Linked DNA regions of Drosophila melanogaster. The gene in region 3 interacts genetically with the main gene of each other region. Each region holds a gene or a part of one and is shown on either strand. Other genes may lie near its edges.

Region 1 (5,023 bases), on a different chromosome or scaffold from region 3:
TTTTAACGAATCTAGTATACCCTTTTACTCTACGAGTAACGGGTACAACAAAAATGCTATATTCGACTTATGTTCTGACAGTCAGATACCCGTTACTCAGTTAGTGGAAATGGTGAATTGATTGAGAAAATATTTAAACAAATTTGAAAGTATGGGCGTGGCAAAAAGTTTTTTGGTAAATCGATAAAAATTTACAAGTGTAATAAAAATATAAAAAAAAATTTGAAAACATTTTTTAAAAGTGCAAGGATGTGCAAGTTTTAGGCGGCTATAGGCATTAGGGGGGCTTGGCAACTTTCTATCTGTTATATTTTGGAAGTGACAAACAGGTTCTTTTTTCGTCTTGGGCAACTATTATAATATATTATATTATATACTAAATAACAAGTTTACAAAGAATTCACTACACTAGTAATAAAAGCTATCACTACTTCAAAGTTAGCAGACCCAATACGAAATTCAATGACCAAATAGAAGTCAGCACCAAAACTTAATTACTTAAAAATTTCTTTGAGTGACAGAAGGAAAACTTATATTAGGACAGTATATTTCTTAGATTAGATTTATGGAAGATAACAATGTACTAATTTCTGAATTGTTTAAATAATATCGAACGAGTCAACTACCTTATCCAAACCGCTACCGGAGCACTATCCCTTCGAAAGCTTAGTCTCATTTCTCAACAGCTAACTATAATTTGAAAATATTTAGAATAAAGTTATTGTTCGATAGGCTCATGTTTTTTTTGGGATGAAAGGGGATTTTTATTAAATGTCCGAAAATAATTTTTCGTCACTAAAGTTTGGTATGGTATTTGGCATGATGCGATCGTCAAATGTTTTTACCGAGTCACTAACTTGGACATAGTCTCTAAAACATACTTTTGATTTTATTTTTACTTAGTTCCGAACTAGGGGTCAATAATTTAAGTTATTGAAATTCAGTTGCCCCGCGTGGGACAATCTAATCGAATGCTAATTGTAATTCGGTTATTTATCCTGCGCACTTCATTGGGGTCGTACAAATAATGAGTTCTGATTACAGCGATTGTGCCCAAGTCTAGTGTTGCCGATAAGATAGCCGCAATAGATACTAAGCAGAGCTACATGCACACCCAAAGTGCCGTTGTGACTCATCGACTCCTCGACCATTGTTGCGGGTCCGACAATAGGCCTGTACTCGATCAGCGATTTTTAAAAGGTGTGTGAACCGCGCAGAAAGCTTTGGAAAGCTTGTAGAGTTTGTGCCAATGCCTCGGCAGAGAACTTGTTCTTATGGATTGTGGCTGACCTTGCCGTAGAAGCCCATTATGTTTTTATTTGCATAATACCTTAGAACAGTCGAAGGGTTTTCGGGCTATCGCATTTCAATATCTTGGAGATTATGAAAAGCTTTGCCAGCTGTTTTGAAGTTCGCAGCTGTGCTCTGGAAAACTCCCTCTCCATTACCAACTTGCGGCATTGACGCTCTCGCCGTAACCGTTACCCGTTAACCGTTTTGAGCTCGGCGACCTAAGCTTTTGGCTGCGTCGCGAGGTTTAGTTAATATTATTAACCGGAGTGACGGCCAAGTTGTCGCAACGTTTCTCGTGGATCGCAGATCGTGGCGGTAAGGCGAGCTTTTTGCCGGGGGCTCAAAGTGTGAGTGTGAGGTGTCTTCAGTTTGGTTTTTTTCACATAGCGTGGCATTACTCTCTTTGACGAATTCAATGCGACGTCGCGCTTTTTTCGGTTCTGCAACTTCCGTTAGTCGGTGGCTCGAAAAGTAAACAAAGTGCTGCATATCGCATGCAAACGTGACAATCTTTCAGACGCACTCCAACTTGATAACTTGATAAGCATCTGTGAGATGCAAAGATACAAGTTATAAAGCACCATCTCGCGAAGCCATGTAGCCGAGTGAAAAAAGTAAAATATGCGAAAGCAGAAAAACAAAAAATTTGTGCGTGTGTTAGTTGGCCATTGTGCAAACCTTTAATGAGCTGGAAGCGCCAAAAGCCAAATACCAACGAATATAAAGAGCACGCGAAACATTCAGTTATATTTGCAAAACTTGGTTTTGTGTTCACGCAAAGATAACGATATGCCATGATAAAAATTTAATTAATTATTTTTCAATGCAAGGGATATAAAAAAAGAAAAGTATACACGCTGTGACTGAATGAAACTTGGAAGGCAAAATTAATTTAAATGATTATTTTCGTGGCGCAAAGTATCCTTCCTTCCTCTACTTACCTCCACGGCAATAAGTCCATTATACACAAACGCGGTATTTATAATTTGTGGTTTAAACAGCCTCCGCAGGCCGCAGAACGGACATTTTTCACGTAGGCGAACTGTCGATGCGACTGAGAAATGCAAAAAACTGGAGCCGACAACAAAAGCTTCCTATCTATAAAGCCAAAAACCGATTGCCAAAAATAAAATAGAGCCCATTAAATAGCCCGCGTAAAGCGCACACAACAATGATGGCCACGTGCTTGGATACCAAAACCAGCAAGAACCATGAGGCCCAGCAACTGCAACTGCCCCGGCAGGCGTCATCGAACGCCAACTTGCCACATTTGCAGGTCCGACGTCATCGCCGCAGCATCTCACAGCTGATGGCCAGCATGGGTAATTTTTAGATCTGAAGATAAAGATATTTTCATTTGCATAGATTACTTGGTTCTCGTAGAGCGGCAATGAAATATGTGCGTCATCGTGAGATGAGATAAGAGTGATCATGTTTGCTAAGATATTTCAACATTTAGAACTGGTTGGCGGTAGGTGTTATGGTATGCGAAAGTGAAAAATCATTCTGCACCAAGTTTTCATTGTTTCAATTTGGGGCGATTTATAACAATGAGTGTGCAGTCGAACTTAAATAAGTGTAGTAGTGTAGGGAACCAAGAACTGATAACGATTTCATTGCCTAAATAATAAATTAGCCGAACAATACCCGTTTCCTTTGGATTATATAAGCCTTTACCCACTTATTGCTTCCATCAAATTGCGTGTTGGGCTCGGCCTAACGGTGCAATTAGTAAATGAATCATAATCAATTTTAAAATGCATGACGCGCTGCAAGTAACGATACATGCCGATATTGTTAAAAATATATCGAGCCTGATTTACATTTGTACTCATGCTCGATCATTGCAACAGGAAGTTTCGATTTCTTTGCAATTGTGTGTAGGTCAGGTGAAGCAAGCGATCGGTGGGTTTAATAACCTTTTCAGTAGACCGGCCACTGACAAAACCCGCTAAACAAAGGCGATTCAAAATGAACGCCCTCGGTCTGAGGACATTTTGATAACGGGCATTAAATGGAAAGCATTAACATTCCTGCAAAAAAAAATACAATGCATATAACAGAATTTTTCAGTTAAATCAAAAATGTTTAAGTAACATTTAATTCGGCAATTTAGAACTAGTTTTTTTTCACACCAATGCCCTATCAATAGGAATGGGATACCACAGCTTTATTCGCCACCATAAAAACGTATTATTGTGGTTGGAGTTTAGTTTTTTCAACGAAAAATTGTATATTCTTGAAACAAAATGGGGTTACTTCTATTCGTCTTATCTGTTAGTGATAAAAGTGTCAAGTTTTTTTTAAGTTAATTTGCTTGCCAAAACCAATGAGCCAAAACTAATGAGTTCGGCAAATCGCTTTGAAAGTGAAAAGGTGTTAAGAAATTATGGTTCTTTTATTGAGTACGGTGTTACACTTATTATACCGCCTTAAATTTCTGAAAACGGCGGCCGATGATTGAATAATAGGTCCAAGGTTTAATTATATCCACAATTCTCTTTAACGATTCGTCTAATCAAATACATTTTTGATGGACTTAAATTTTTTTATTTTTTCACTTTTATCACAAATCATGGAACTCGAGCATTAAAGAAGTTTTTGTTTTTGCCTCCAGAAGTTTTTGTTTGGTGACTTGAAGCTGATAGCAAAAAGAGCTTCGTGATAAGGCATATGCCAACACTCGTTATTTTCACTACCCATATAATAACGAATTCAATACCAAGAATTTATGCCTGCCAGTTGAACTTGCCCATAAGCTAGCCTGTGTATGTAAAAGTGTGGTAATAAAACTTTGATGGCACTTATTATGATAGGGTATCATGGAAGTGCCCCAATGTCATTGATCATTGACGGCCATTATCAAATTCTTTGCACTCGGCGTTCCAGTTTATTTTAATTATCACAAGTGATAAGGAGCAATCGTAAGTTATGACTCGTTCAATTGTTTGATAAATTAAACCAACAACTTCTGAAACAGTATCTTAACAAAAATTTTCAGGTGTCGCTACCTTTTTTTTTTAAAAAACCATTTTCGATTTTTGAATTTTAAATATTTCTATACGCGGTACTCAGCGGACAGAAATAAAGTTACTCTGTGAATAGGCGAATAGGACAGGACACCTGTTATTGTCTGCTAATCAAAGCACTTGACTAAGTACTGATTTATTCTGTTTATTACTATCGTCGATAACTGAACCTGTGCACTTTTGCAAAGCCGTGCCGCATCCATAAACTCACTTAACCGTCATTGGTTGGCCTACCTACTGTGCAGTATGGCCTAATCTATTTGTTGTGCCGTTTTATTTGGGCTTGCTATCTAAATGTCAATCAGCTAGAAGCTGATTGCTCAAGTATTTTGGGAAAACAGAACAGTAGAGATTAGGACAGGTATATGGCAAAACTGTATCTCCAAAAGATGCGTACGATACCTAATATTCTCCTCTGATTTGCGTTCTCAGCCAGTAGCACTGAGCTAAGGAAAATGCTATACTTACGGGCGAAGGAGGTGCGTCGTGTGTATTTAGCTTTAAATGTTTTCAAGGTTCGAGCAGGGTTCCTATGTCAAGTTCAGCCGACCATAATGCATTAAACTTAACTACACCACATGTCGTGAGCTCTGACCTTGAGCGAGCTTCTGTTTCGAATGTAGATAGCACTTGCTAATTATTACCATTTAATGGTTACAACACAGGCCGTTCAGCCGGGGGACATATCTCAAAAATGTTAT
Region 2 (6,020 bases), on a different chromosome or scaffold from region 3:
GCACTTTGGTACATCCTAATACCTAAGCCAAACTCCAAACGGGGCCAACACGAAACGAACGACAGACCAAAGAGCGCAGCCCAAAGGCACATGTTGCGGTGGCGACGGCAGGAAGTGGAAAGCGCTGATTGGGGATGGATAAAGGAAACGCTGCACAAGGACATCGTCGACTGCACTCTGCAACCGGCGCAACCGGCCAGAGACAGTGGAACGTGTCTAAAAGCCGTGAAAAGTGCACGTAAACCCGCAAATTGCCGCTAATAGAGTGCAAACAGTTCTGAGCAGGATGTTGCCTTCGAAAAGGGAAGCTGCAAATCGTGGAAATTCATTTAGAACCAGGGCAGCGGAAAATAGCATTCGCCTTGAAATGCTTTTGACAGTCGATTAGATGAGCGCCCCAAATTAAAAATATCCGGGGAATTCCCGGTAGTGAAATTTCATATTAAAATGTGTCATAAGACATATTTGCCCTGGCACAGGAAAACTATTTGGCGACCCGTTAAACCGCTTTTCACCCCGTTGAATTTTACGCTCGACCCGCAAGATGGATTTGGGCAAAAATGTTCGAAGAATTTTCATCATACCCACATGAACGGCAATAAGTTGTGGCCTTGTGAGCAACTTTGAAATTCGACATACATAACTAAAAACTTTCAAGCCTGTTGATGAGTTTAGATTTTAACCAAAGTTGGCTAGTTAGCCCACTGGCAATCTTGAAACTTCCTGTCAGGGTTTCCTTGAGTGGAGCACACGCGGCGTATGCGTAACTAATTCAGGTGCTCTCGAGTGGTGAGTTTCCACAAAAGGATTTCCCCTTCCGAAAAGAGAGAAAGAGAAAGCAATCAGCTGCTGGTCCGGAACTTTCTCTGTTTTCTTTTACTATCTGGGCTTCAGAGGAAATGTTAATGTTAGTGGTGAAAAGCTGTCTCTTAAAAGAGAGAAAGCCAAAAGAAAAATCCACCCACTAAATATCAGAGCTTTAAGCGTTAAAGCTTTAATGAACATTTAGATGGCTTTTAGCGAAGGATACAATAAATAAATTTCGGTAAATTAACTTGCAAAAGCCTAGTTTTTCGAAGAAGCCTATAAACTTTTCTCAAAGCTTTTTTTTAGACCATTTTAAATGATGGTTATAAACTCGGGATTCATGAAAGAAAATCCGATAAAATCGTTCTGGTCCAAATTCATCATAAAAAGCTTGTCCGTTGGAGTTAAGTCCGTCTTCTCCTTGGTAAAGGCATCATCAAAGTTGCTTATATCCTTGCGATGTTTCTGAAATGTACCCAAGATTACAATAAAATGATTTCCTAGTGGGGCTCCTGTTTTAGCTTACAATCATTGGCTTAATAGGTGGCTCCATTTCGCATGCCTCTGCCTTATCCCAGTCCACATTCCGGAAGAAAGGATGCGTGGTAATCTCCTGTCTGGCATAGCGGCCTGCACCCAATCTATTGTTGGGCTTTTTGGTCAGGAACTTTGGAATACAAATCTATACCATTAGATTCATATGTTTTTGAAATCCAACACTTACGCTCGTTATTATATCCATGGCCTCCACGCTGAAATGCTTTGGAAACACCGCCTTCTTGTCCTTTATGTTCCTAAAGACAGTAGTTTCATCATCTCCTTCGAATGGAGCCTGACCTGCCATGAATTCGAAAAGCAATACACCAAAAGACCACCAATCAGCGGCGATGGAATACGGATCGTAGCTAACAATCTTAAATTATTTTTAAGCTGATTATTTTTACACTTATTTTTTTCGGCTGATTTACTTACTTCGGGAGCCATATAATTTGGAGTACCACAAAAGGTTCGTGTGGTCTGCCGCTCGGTAACGCCCTCTTTGCTCAATCCAAAGTCGACCAGCTTTACATGCCCCTCACCATCCAGCAAAATGTTGTCCAGCTTTAGATCTCTATAGATAATATCACGCTCGTGGAGGAAAAACAGAGCAATAGCCACTTCCACAGCGTAAAAACTAAGCACATAATATATAGAAGATTTCAAAATATGGTACTTGAATATAAATATTTGTACTCACATAGCCACAGACTCCTTGAACCTTCCATACTGCTGCATATGGTACATAAGATCTCCACCCTTACAGTACTCCATTACGAAGAATAATCGGTCCATAGTCTGGAAACATGAGTGCATGGAGACGAGGAAAGGAGGACGTCCGGATAGGGCTAGAATTTTCTTCTCATTCATTGGCAGCTCCATATCGTCCGTTTGGATAATGACATCCTTTCGCAGGACCTTCACGGCATACAGCTCATCCGTGCCACGACGCTCGGCCAGCAGGACTTTGCCAAAGGATCCCTTGCCAATAACTTTAACAAAGTTGAAATCAGCAGCTCGAATCATATCGCGTTTGCTCATATTATGCGGCATATCCTTGTTGTCCATGCGACGCTTTTCATTCGGACGACGATCGTGCTGAAAATCAGGAATATTAAATATGTGGCAAACTTGGTGAGGACATCCGCTTACCCTAACTTCATCCCTTAAGCGAGCTATATCATTAAAGGCATCCACACAGGGTATGTTATAATGTTCACCCTCCACTTGCGACAGAAACTTATACCAGCCATCAACTGGCTCCTTTTGCAGTTCCTCCAGGCTGAACGAGAACGATCCCATGAAATCATTGCGAGAAGTTCGATCCCAATCCCAAACCTCGATGAGCAAACGCTTGTCACGGTCCTGCGGCTGCAACTCACTAGGATTAAAGAAAATATGGTAAAGAGGTCTATTTAGAGGATTAGTTTTCAACTATTACAAAGTAAAAGTCTCGTTGAACACTGGATTGAGGTTTTTCTGAATGGTCTTGGTCTTCTTTTTGGTGCGCCCCGAACGGTCCGGATGCATTTGCACTGCAATATAGGGATCGCTAAACCCGTTGGTATCCATGGGAATGAGGTTAGCTGCCTCCTTAACTGCAGTATGAAAGAAACATTAATCTTTATATGGGCATATAAACTTTAAGTAATAACTTACTATCAACTTTCAAGTTATTGCCCTTAAGCTCGACGTATAGCAGTAGTTTACCCCTCACCTCGCTGATGTCCGCACCACACATCGGTGGCACTGTCTCCTGGCAGGCGTGATGCACATTTAGGTTGCAATCTGAAATATTTGGGTTAATAGCTTGAAAGCAATAGGACTCGAGTTTATTCAGGAATTTACTCTCGCACTTGACGCCCTGATGGGCGACTCCATGGAGCAGCAGTCCGCACTCGTCGCAGAATGTCGGTGTGGTGTAGGTGGTGGAAATCCAGCCGTGCTTCACCTTAGCGCAGTCGGCATCGAAGTCCGTGTCCTTGCCAGGACATTTGAACACCACAAATTTACAGCACTTCTGGTGAATGTTGAAGCGGCATTCTGCGTATGCAAATATTTTAAAAGATTTTTTAAATTGTGAACATTTCTACCTACCCTCGCACTGAAAACCTTGCTTGCCAAAGCCCCTAATCCCGGCACGAATCCGCGAATGCAACAATGCGAAACGGAAGAACAGCGAAAAAAATATAGAAAAAACAACGAAAAGTGTGTCAGCAACGAAGGCACTAATTAAATTAACGATGGGAACGCTGAGATGCCAGCAAAAACCGAAAACGAAATTTCTCACCAGATGAAATCCTTGCAATGACCGCAGTAGGTTGGATTCTTAAAGAATCTAACTCCGAAACGATGACCATTGACCATTTCGAGACCCTTTCGCTTCATCGCACCCTTCCTTAGACGATTCTTCATATAGTTGACGATATTTGCTTCGCCAGTGATCTCCAGTAGATTTCCTGGACCTTTGCCAGCTCCAGCCGCTGGAGCCTTGGCCCCTGGAGCGGCACTGGGCACCGAGGGAGGGAGCACAGTGGCCCCCGGTGTGGCAACAGCAGCCGCAGCCATTAAAAGATAATGTCAGGGAATTGGATAGCTAGTGAAGAGAAAAAGCTGACTCAGACCGTACGGTTTCAAGCCCGTCTAGAAACTGACCCGGTCGGTCAGGTGAAGACCCTAAAAGAAGCAACTTGGAAGCCAACAAAGTGCACACACAAAGTTGAAGGCAAGAAAATGACACAGAGTGATGCAAACGGGCGACAGTTTGGACTTATGCAATAGTGCATAAGACGTAATTTCATTCATAAATTTTCCAAATATGTATTTGTTCCTAGCTTATAGAAACCTCCTTATCCATATCTCATTATATTTGTGTAGACTGAATAAAAAATGTAATATAAATACAACATAATACTGCTCATACATATCAAAAAAAAACCATAAGAGAAATGTTTCAGAAAAATACCCTTCTGATTTAAAATTATTTCTGCACATGTAAAGCAGCTAAAAGAAAATAAAATATGTGTGAGTAAACACACGAATATTAAACGTTAATTATGCACATATCAAAGTGAATAATATTTTATAGCCTCTTTATTGCATGTTTTTTTAATTATTTAAAATCGGACATTTGTGGAACTATTTACCACAATTAAATTGTGCCTTTGTTAGCGTAAATCGGTGTTAAACAATTGTGTAATATTTGAGACTTTGTATGATTAATTTCTGTCAATTTCTAGGTACTTAATATATGTGTGCGCATTTTAAAAGTCAAATTTAATGCTTTTAACCATTTCATAACAATGAATGTCATGTCCAAAGCATCCTTACTACTAGTCCCTATAGATCTTACACAAGTTGCCATGCAACCATTTGCTCTATGCCTGGGTAATCAGCACTTATCCACGCTGATTCAGTTAGTTCGGCAGTTAGCCCCCATCGCAATTGTCCCCCAGGAAAAAGCACTCAACGACGTCCCGTCAATCGAACGGAGGACCGAAGAGTGAAAGCCAAGAACTCTCGTCTTTGGGCCCTTACCAGCGATAAGTGTAAACAGCTTGGGAAAGGTCAAGAAGGTGCTTACCTGGCCAGAAGACAAACATAATCATCATCGGAGCCATTGCTCCGGACAACTGCAGCTGTGACGTCAATGCAATAAAATTGGAAAAGTGGGCGAAGGGGTTTCGGAAAATGGTGATGTGCGAAAGCTTCTATGTGTGTGTGTGTGTGTATGTGTGACTATTGTCGATTGAGTATTTATACTGTGTGGCAGTTTTGATTAATTTATGCAATTGCTGGCAGGGCACGTTTTCCGTGAAAGAACCCCCCATTTAAGCGCCGCCCCTGCAAGCCAGCTGGCTTTCAGTGCAGGGCTAAAAATAGAAATAGAAAACGCAGAATTGAGCACAAAGTGCACACAGGACACAGAAGGACACGCTGGCTGGCAAGGCAAACAAAATACAAAATAAAAGCGGTTAGCTGAAATCCAAGCTGAAACAACTAAAAACGCTACCGAAAGCAGCGATGAAATGGGTTGGAAAATGCATTAAAGCGGAAATGTAGGACCTTTGTCGGGGAAAAATGCCATTAAAGCAGGTCCAAGTCAAAGTATCTAAGTATCTGCAGCGGCACGCGTATCTGTATCTCAGAAGTGCACTCAGTGAGTCGACAAATATGCACTCGCAGATTGCCCAGAACTACAGAACTGCACACCTGTCGGTTGAAAGGCATTGACAAGGGGGTTTCGGCGAGCAGAGGGAATTGCAAATAGATTTCGTTGCCGTGGCAGCTTTGGCTTTCAATTTACGTCATCATTTCCATGGCGTCGCCAAACAATTTTCCCCTCCATTTTTCCCTCTTGGCCATTTCACAAAAGCAGGCCAAGCCGCAAAGAGCCAGAGAGCCGCCTCTCAGCGTATAACACATTTTTGTTTAGCTTTACTTCCAGGTTATTTACTCTGACTTTACTTTGCATTACTTTTCTCTGGCTTCGTTTGCTTTTGGCCAAGGCTTTGTTGTTTTCCTTATTCTGTTGTTCGCCATTTCAACATTTGGCAATTCCGCTTGGCTACTTGTTAGCCGACCGTCTTGTTTTTGACCTGCGCCCTTAACACCTATTGATCTGCAGCGCACCTGTCGTGAGTTACTAGCTGTATAATGACCTTTGGACCATGGCA
Region 3 (5,546 bases):
CTTTGCCGAGTCTGTGCGTCCCGGTAGCGAGCGCAATTTCCCCGCCGTTCCGGCCAACTCGCTGAAGCAGTACAAGGAGCAGGATGGCTTTGGCAAGCGCGCCTACATGGGTCTCCAGATCGACTACGATCTGCGCGGTGACTACATCTTGGAGGTCAACGCCAAGAGCCCCTTCGGTCAGCGCAGCCCTGCCCACAAGCAGGCCGCCTACCATGGCATGCACCACGCCCAGAACTAGAGCGCCCATGGCCACGCCCCCTGGTTACCAGGGACGTTCGATCGTCACGCACTTTCTGATAATCAGAAAATAAAAACCCGGAATGCGTAGTTTAGCTTAGAAGTTTCATCAAACAATCAAAAAAGAAAAATCTATAAAATCCCATAAAAATAAAAGCTGCAAATTTTCGAAAAGTCAAGTTTTTTAATAGCAATAGCAATGGTTATTCTGGATTGGATTCTAACTTTTATGGTATTAAAAAACACACACAAGAATTTGCTGGGCACATTTTTAGGCACCCCTTCTGAAGTAAATAGAAAAATTTCCGAAAATATACATATTTAACATAGTAAATCGGCCAAACAACTTAAATGAGCTAATAATAAAAAGATAAATGCATATATCACAGGTGATCTTAAGCAGATGCTTAACCAAAAAACAACACGATAAATAAAGCAAACAAAAAGTGCCTAAAATACAATTATGATACCTAATGAAAGGTACACGAAAGAAAATGTAGATAATAAATAAACTGAAAAGAAATTAGGAATAACTCATAAAAATCAAAATTTAGAAAACTGTGCAGCTTGGTATTTACTAGCACCCTAGATGCTTAACAGGATTGCGAAGTTGGGATGGAAATACGCACAAGGAGATGGATGCATTGAGTGGGCGGAAGTGAGAGTGAGGCAACTAGTGTCCGTTGCCATTTGATGTGCACTCAATTAAAATTTGCATTCGGTTTATCGTTAGTGACTACTCGTTCAAAAATCACTGGGCAACCTGTGTAAACTCAATTGTTCCTTACAGTTTTGGGACATGCGCGGTGTAAATGTCAAAGTTGAACTTTATCAAATGCAATAGACAAACTAGAAAGGGCAGCGAAAACAGCAGAGTCGAAAATAGAGCGAGATAGGGAGCTGGAGTGACAGGAGCGGAATGACAACAGTTGGCGTCTTTTGTTTGTGCATGTCGTGACATGTTTGCTTTGACTCTGACCGAACGGAATGCGCCGTTAAGCTTATCTTCTTACCGTACACTTAGAGCGTCTTCTCTCTCTCTCTCTCTCACTATTTGCCCTTCAGCGTTTGTTCTTCTTTTTGGGCTTGGCAAGCTCTTGCTCTCGCTGCTTTTCTCCAGAAGAGAGCGCACAAGGACGCCGGGACGTTGGCATTTTGTGGGGTTCTGGCCATCCGAGTTTCTTGCAGAAATTACTGTATATTATTCATTGGCCGATATGCATAAATCCAATTTACGAAACCCCCCCTTTTCAGCCTAGCCAGCTGAGTGTCCCCGCAAAAGGAGAGAAAGGCAAAGAGAGTGAGAGTGACGCTTTCTCGCGCGCTTTTGTTGCGCACAAATAAAGTAAGGGGTTTTCCGCGAATCGTCAGTTGAGAATTGAGAACTGAACTGACCGTTTTCAGAAACGGTGGCGTTTTAACTTTTTTGTTATTTAATTAGTCCTTAAATAGTCCTTTTCTAAAATGTACTTAAAACATGTATGTATATGTAATGTAGAAATAGTTTTTTAATATCTAAGCAAAAATTATCCAGATTGCAAATATGTACATACATACATATGTATTTATGTATATACTAGTATACTTTTTATGAGTCTGGCGATTTTGCGGTGATACTCATTTTCGGAACGCCTCGCTCTCTCCGCTCATTTCTCTTGGCTTTGCTTTTGCTTTAGCTTCGTTTGCTTTTCGGCGTTCGTTCAGTTCAGCGTTCGGCGTTCCGTTCAGTTCATTTCGGTTTGGTTCATCTTACTTCAGTTCGGAATCAAACGCGAGCCGAGTCGCAATCGCAACTTTGCCGCCGCGCAGCGCACGCTGTTTTTTTTTCAGTGTGTACGTTTTGATTGCAAAAAGAAATAAGCAAACGCAAGGCAAGCAGCAACAACGCTGAAAACATTTTTCATCTGCGGCCTGGAAAAGCGCCCCGAAGAAAATGAATAGATAAATTGTATTAATCGCCCAATCGAGTCAGCATATATCCACTGTATATTTATATTTTGTTGTGCGTTGTTCGTTGTTTTTTTTTCTCCTTTGCGCTTTGGACCTTACTCTTTTGTTGTTAATTGTCCAGCTGCCCGCAATGATAATAATGTGAGTTGGCCCGCCGAAAGTTGGTACGTTTTCCACTGCTGCTCTTTTTTCACCTTTGTTTGTAACAAATGGAATAGTTTACAACAAAATTCGTAAAATTAGTTAAGGATACTTCGGTTGTCGTGTGTGTGTGTGTGTGGGTGGCAGCTGCGTAAATGCGTAAGCTGCGTCGCGTTTGTGTAAGTGTGTGTGTGTTGGCTGTGGCCAGGTCTCAAGGTCCCGTTAGCTCTCTCCCACCGCTCTTCCTGTTTCACGCTTTTGCTCTCTTTTACAAACAACAACAAGTCTGTGATAAGAATTTTCCATGCGTAATTTTCACGTAAAGCTTTGTTTTGTTATGTTTGGTACTTTTGCACTTTTATAAATCGGATAAAGTTTATTACAGTTCAGCGTTTTAAAAAGTCTTTTATAGCCATCTTAATGATTGATTTTTTAAAGTATTTTTTAAGGAATTTAAGTCAAATTAAAAATAAAAATATTAATTTATAACTATTTCTTTAAAAAAATGCTTTAATCTAAAAATGATAAATTTCTTAAGAATAATATTGTTAGAAATGTTTTCATTATGAGTTCATAAAAAATAACTTTTTTTGGTTAATGTTCCATAAATAATTTTTTACACATTTCATTATACTAAAAAAATAGGAACTTAACTCAGATGAAAAATAAAAATATTTATTCGAAAGCACTGCTCTGGAATTTATAACCATTGGTTTTTGAAAAAAAGTCTTTAATCTTAGAAATTATGAATTTCCTATGATTAATATTTTTAGGAATGTACATTTTTCATAAATGAGTCTATAAAAGATATCTTTGTACAAAATAAATATTATTATATAGGCCCTTTTTGAGATGAACCCAAGAAATACGTTTGTTGTGTTCTTATTTTTGCTGCTTATTGTATTTATAAATTATTAATAAGCACAAAGCGTGCCACAGGTGTGCACGAAGGAGTGAGCGAGACGGGGAGAGTGGGTGAGAGCCAAAGAGAGAGTACGTGACCTTTTTTTCTTGCTCTTTTCCGTCTAATTTAGCTCACTAAACTTGAGACTCGGATTTAATAGGCTTTCTTTCAACCTTTGCTTTCTTTGCATCCCAACCCGTCTATTTCTGTCTCTGTCTCGCGTTCATTTATTTCCGCTTGAGTGCGTTTTCTGTTGTTGTTGCTTTTCTTCGTTTTATTACCTTTTTTTGCACATTTTTCTACACCTTTTTTTTTATTGTATTGCTTGGTCAATTACCATGGCAATTTATTTATCAGTTTGGCGTTTTTGATGTTGCAACAATTGCGCAAATTTATTTCCTCTATTTTCACTATTTGAGCTTCTGTCTGGCAGACTTAATAACAAAAATGGTTTTGTGCATAAAAGCGTGGAATTTTACCCATCTTCATCTTATGATTTTACACGGAGAGAAAAGTATATCAAGCAATCTTAAAAATAATTTAAATATCAGAGTGGACATGGATAAAATGTGCATTGTGTTAATATATTTTAATAATATTAATGAATGAAAATATTTGTGATATTGCTCTTACTTTTCTCCGTGTGCATACCCTTGCTTTACCCTTTGGTCACATCATAAACAAAAATTTTTTAAATGACAAAATACATCATAAACAACCACATTGAAGGCTACGTGCACTTTGGCCGGATCTTTTATAGCCAGCACATGTGTGCGTTTGTAATTTGTTTATTGATGCACAGTGGGCCGCTTTTTCATCTCCGGGCTGCTATATCATTTAAAAAAAAAGGTGTTTTCTAGTCTAGATTTCTCGAATGCCCCCCGCCAAATAAGAAGACTTTAAGCGAATCGTAAATAATGTCCATTTTTTTATAAGCCCCATAAAGGAAGCTCCATTGTAATAAATCTTATCGCTGCAAAGTTTTTTCTCATCGTGAATATTAACATTTCTTATCACTTTTAACTGCAGGTGCTTTCTTCTTATATGAACTTTACTTGTGTTCTCTAAAAGTCGTAAAAATGTACATACATATGAATATTAAATTGGGAAAAGTAATTGCAGTTGTAAACAAAACCTAGCATTCTTCATATAGTGCTAACTGCACATTGTTACTTTCGCTAGCTTAACAGAAATTTTTTACACCAAAAAAGTTGTTTCACAACTTTAAAACAGTGGAAGATACATGTTTTCGTTATGAAATTATCTGTTTTTCTTATATATAGGACACACTTTCGATAACCTTTGACCCAGTGTAGCAAAGAAAATCTGTTGGCGCATTTTCTGTGTCACAAAATGTAATTATGCTAAGGAGGCAAAAAAAAAAAACAGAAAAATGGTGATGTGTGGAGGCTAACGGGGGGTGGAGAGTGCTAGGCGAAAAGGGGGCGTGGCATGGCAGGGGGAAGGGGGCCTAAAGCGGTGGCCATATTGTTGGGGCTTACGATTCGTTACGGCCTGCCATGTAACTGCCATGACATAAACATGTGCATGTCTGTGTTCGTTTCCCCTTCCCCCACTGCCCGCTGTGCCCAATAATTATTGATTGACGGCCCTCCTTTATTGTGCCTCTTATTTTAGCATCTAGAACATCCCGCCCCCTCCCCCATTTCCCCAACAATGTCTATCCAGATCTTATTAGGATCAAACCATATATAACTACAAACTAATGAAACTATGCCATAATATAATTACATATATCAAAAGCTTCTTTTTAGTAATTTCATATAGAATGAATGTATTGTATTATGTATTAGATATTCTGTAGCTTGTTTTTCTTAATCTCATAGTAAATAGGGAAATCTAAACTTTTGCGCAACATGGTTGAGTGTTGAGTTTGCATGCTAAGTGCCACTTACATCAATTTACAAAATCCCCATTCCCCCCTTTTCGACCAACACAAAAGCTCCAATTAAAAAGTAAGCTCCTTTGGGATCCATAAATTGGATGGGGGAATACAATAGCACTTAATGAGGAGCTGGACAAATTTGTGGTCGAGATAAATACGCGATAAGATCTAAACAGATTAGGAGTCTAATGAAGGTCATTAGCAATGGAAGTTCACAGCTTGTAAGCACAGTGGGGCTACGTAGTTAAGAGGTTTAATTGTAGTTTAAGAATATATATATGCTATATGCCCAAGAATATTCTATTATATTTGATAATATAAATATATAGATATATAGATATACTGACAAATTTCAAGTAGCTTAGATTTTAACTTAACGTTCTGTGCGGAAATATTCTTCACTTAATA

Evidence for each region.
Region 1: of rdgB (region 3) and Pld, changing one suppresses a phenotype caused by changing the other (phenotypic suppression), as found in Drosophila melanogaster (one study listed by BioGRID).
Region 2: of rdgB (region 3) and inaC, changing one suppresses a phenotype caused by changing the other (phenotypic suppression), as found in Drosophila melanogaster (one study listed by BioGRID).

Annotation. Positions count from the first base shown.
Region 1 is NT_033778.4:6,243,970-6,248,992, forward strand, and holds the start of Pld (phospholipase D), read left to right. Parts: upstream 1-1,542; 5' UTR 1,543-1,608; intron 1,609-2,294; 5' UTR 2,295-2,464; coding exon 2,465-2,615; intron 2,616-5,023.
Region 2 is NT_033778.4:16,896,537-16,902,556, reverse strand, and holds inaC (inactivation no afterpotential C), read right to left. Parts: upstream 4,023-6,020; 5' UTR 3,913-4,022; coding exon 3,635-3,912; intron 3,474-3,634; coding exon 3,442-3,473; intron 3,388-3,441; coding exon 3,193-3,387; intron 3,133-3,192; coding exon 3,004-3,132; intron 2,943-3,003; coding exon 2,786-2,942; intron 2,726-2,785; coding exon 2,497-2,725; intron 2,443-2,496; coding exon 2,045-2,442; intron 1,982-2,044; coding exon 1,780-1,981; intron 1,721-1,779; coding exon 1,532-1,720; intron 1,475-1,531; coding exon 1,334-1,474; intron 1,273-1,333; coding exon 1,120-1,272; 3' UTR 982-1,119; downstream 1-981. UniProt on the Drosophila melanogaster protein: This is a calcium-activated, phospholipid-dependent, serine- and threonine-specific enzyme. This isozyme is a negative regulator of the visual transduction cascade and has been shown to be required for photoreceptor cell inactivation and light adaptation.
Region 3 is NC_004354.4:13,760,761-13,766,306, forward strand, and holds the start of rdgB (retinal degeneration B), read left to right. Parts: upstream 1-1,991; 5' UTR 1,992-2,185; intron 2,186-2,308; exon of another isoform or gene 2,309-2,351; intron 2,352-5,546. Other genes in the region: Yp3 (yolk protein 3), read left to right, coding at 1-238. UniProt on the Drosophila melanogaster protein: Catalyzes the transfer of phosphatidylinositol (PI) and phosphatidic acid (PA) between membranes. May control phosphatidylinositol concentration in transport vesicles from the subrhabdomeric cisternae (SRC) to the rhabdomere.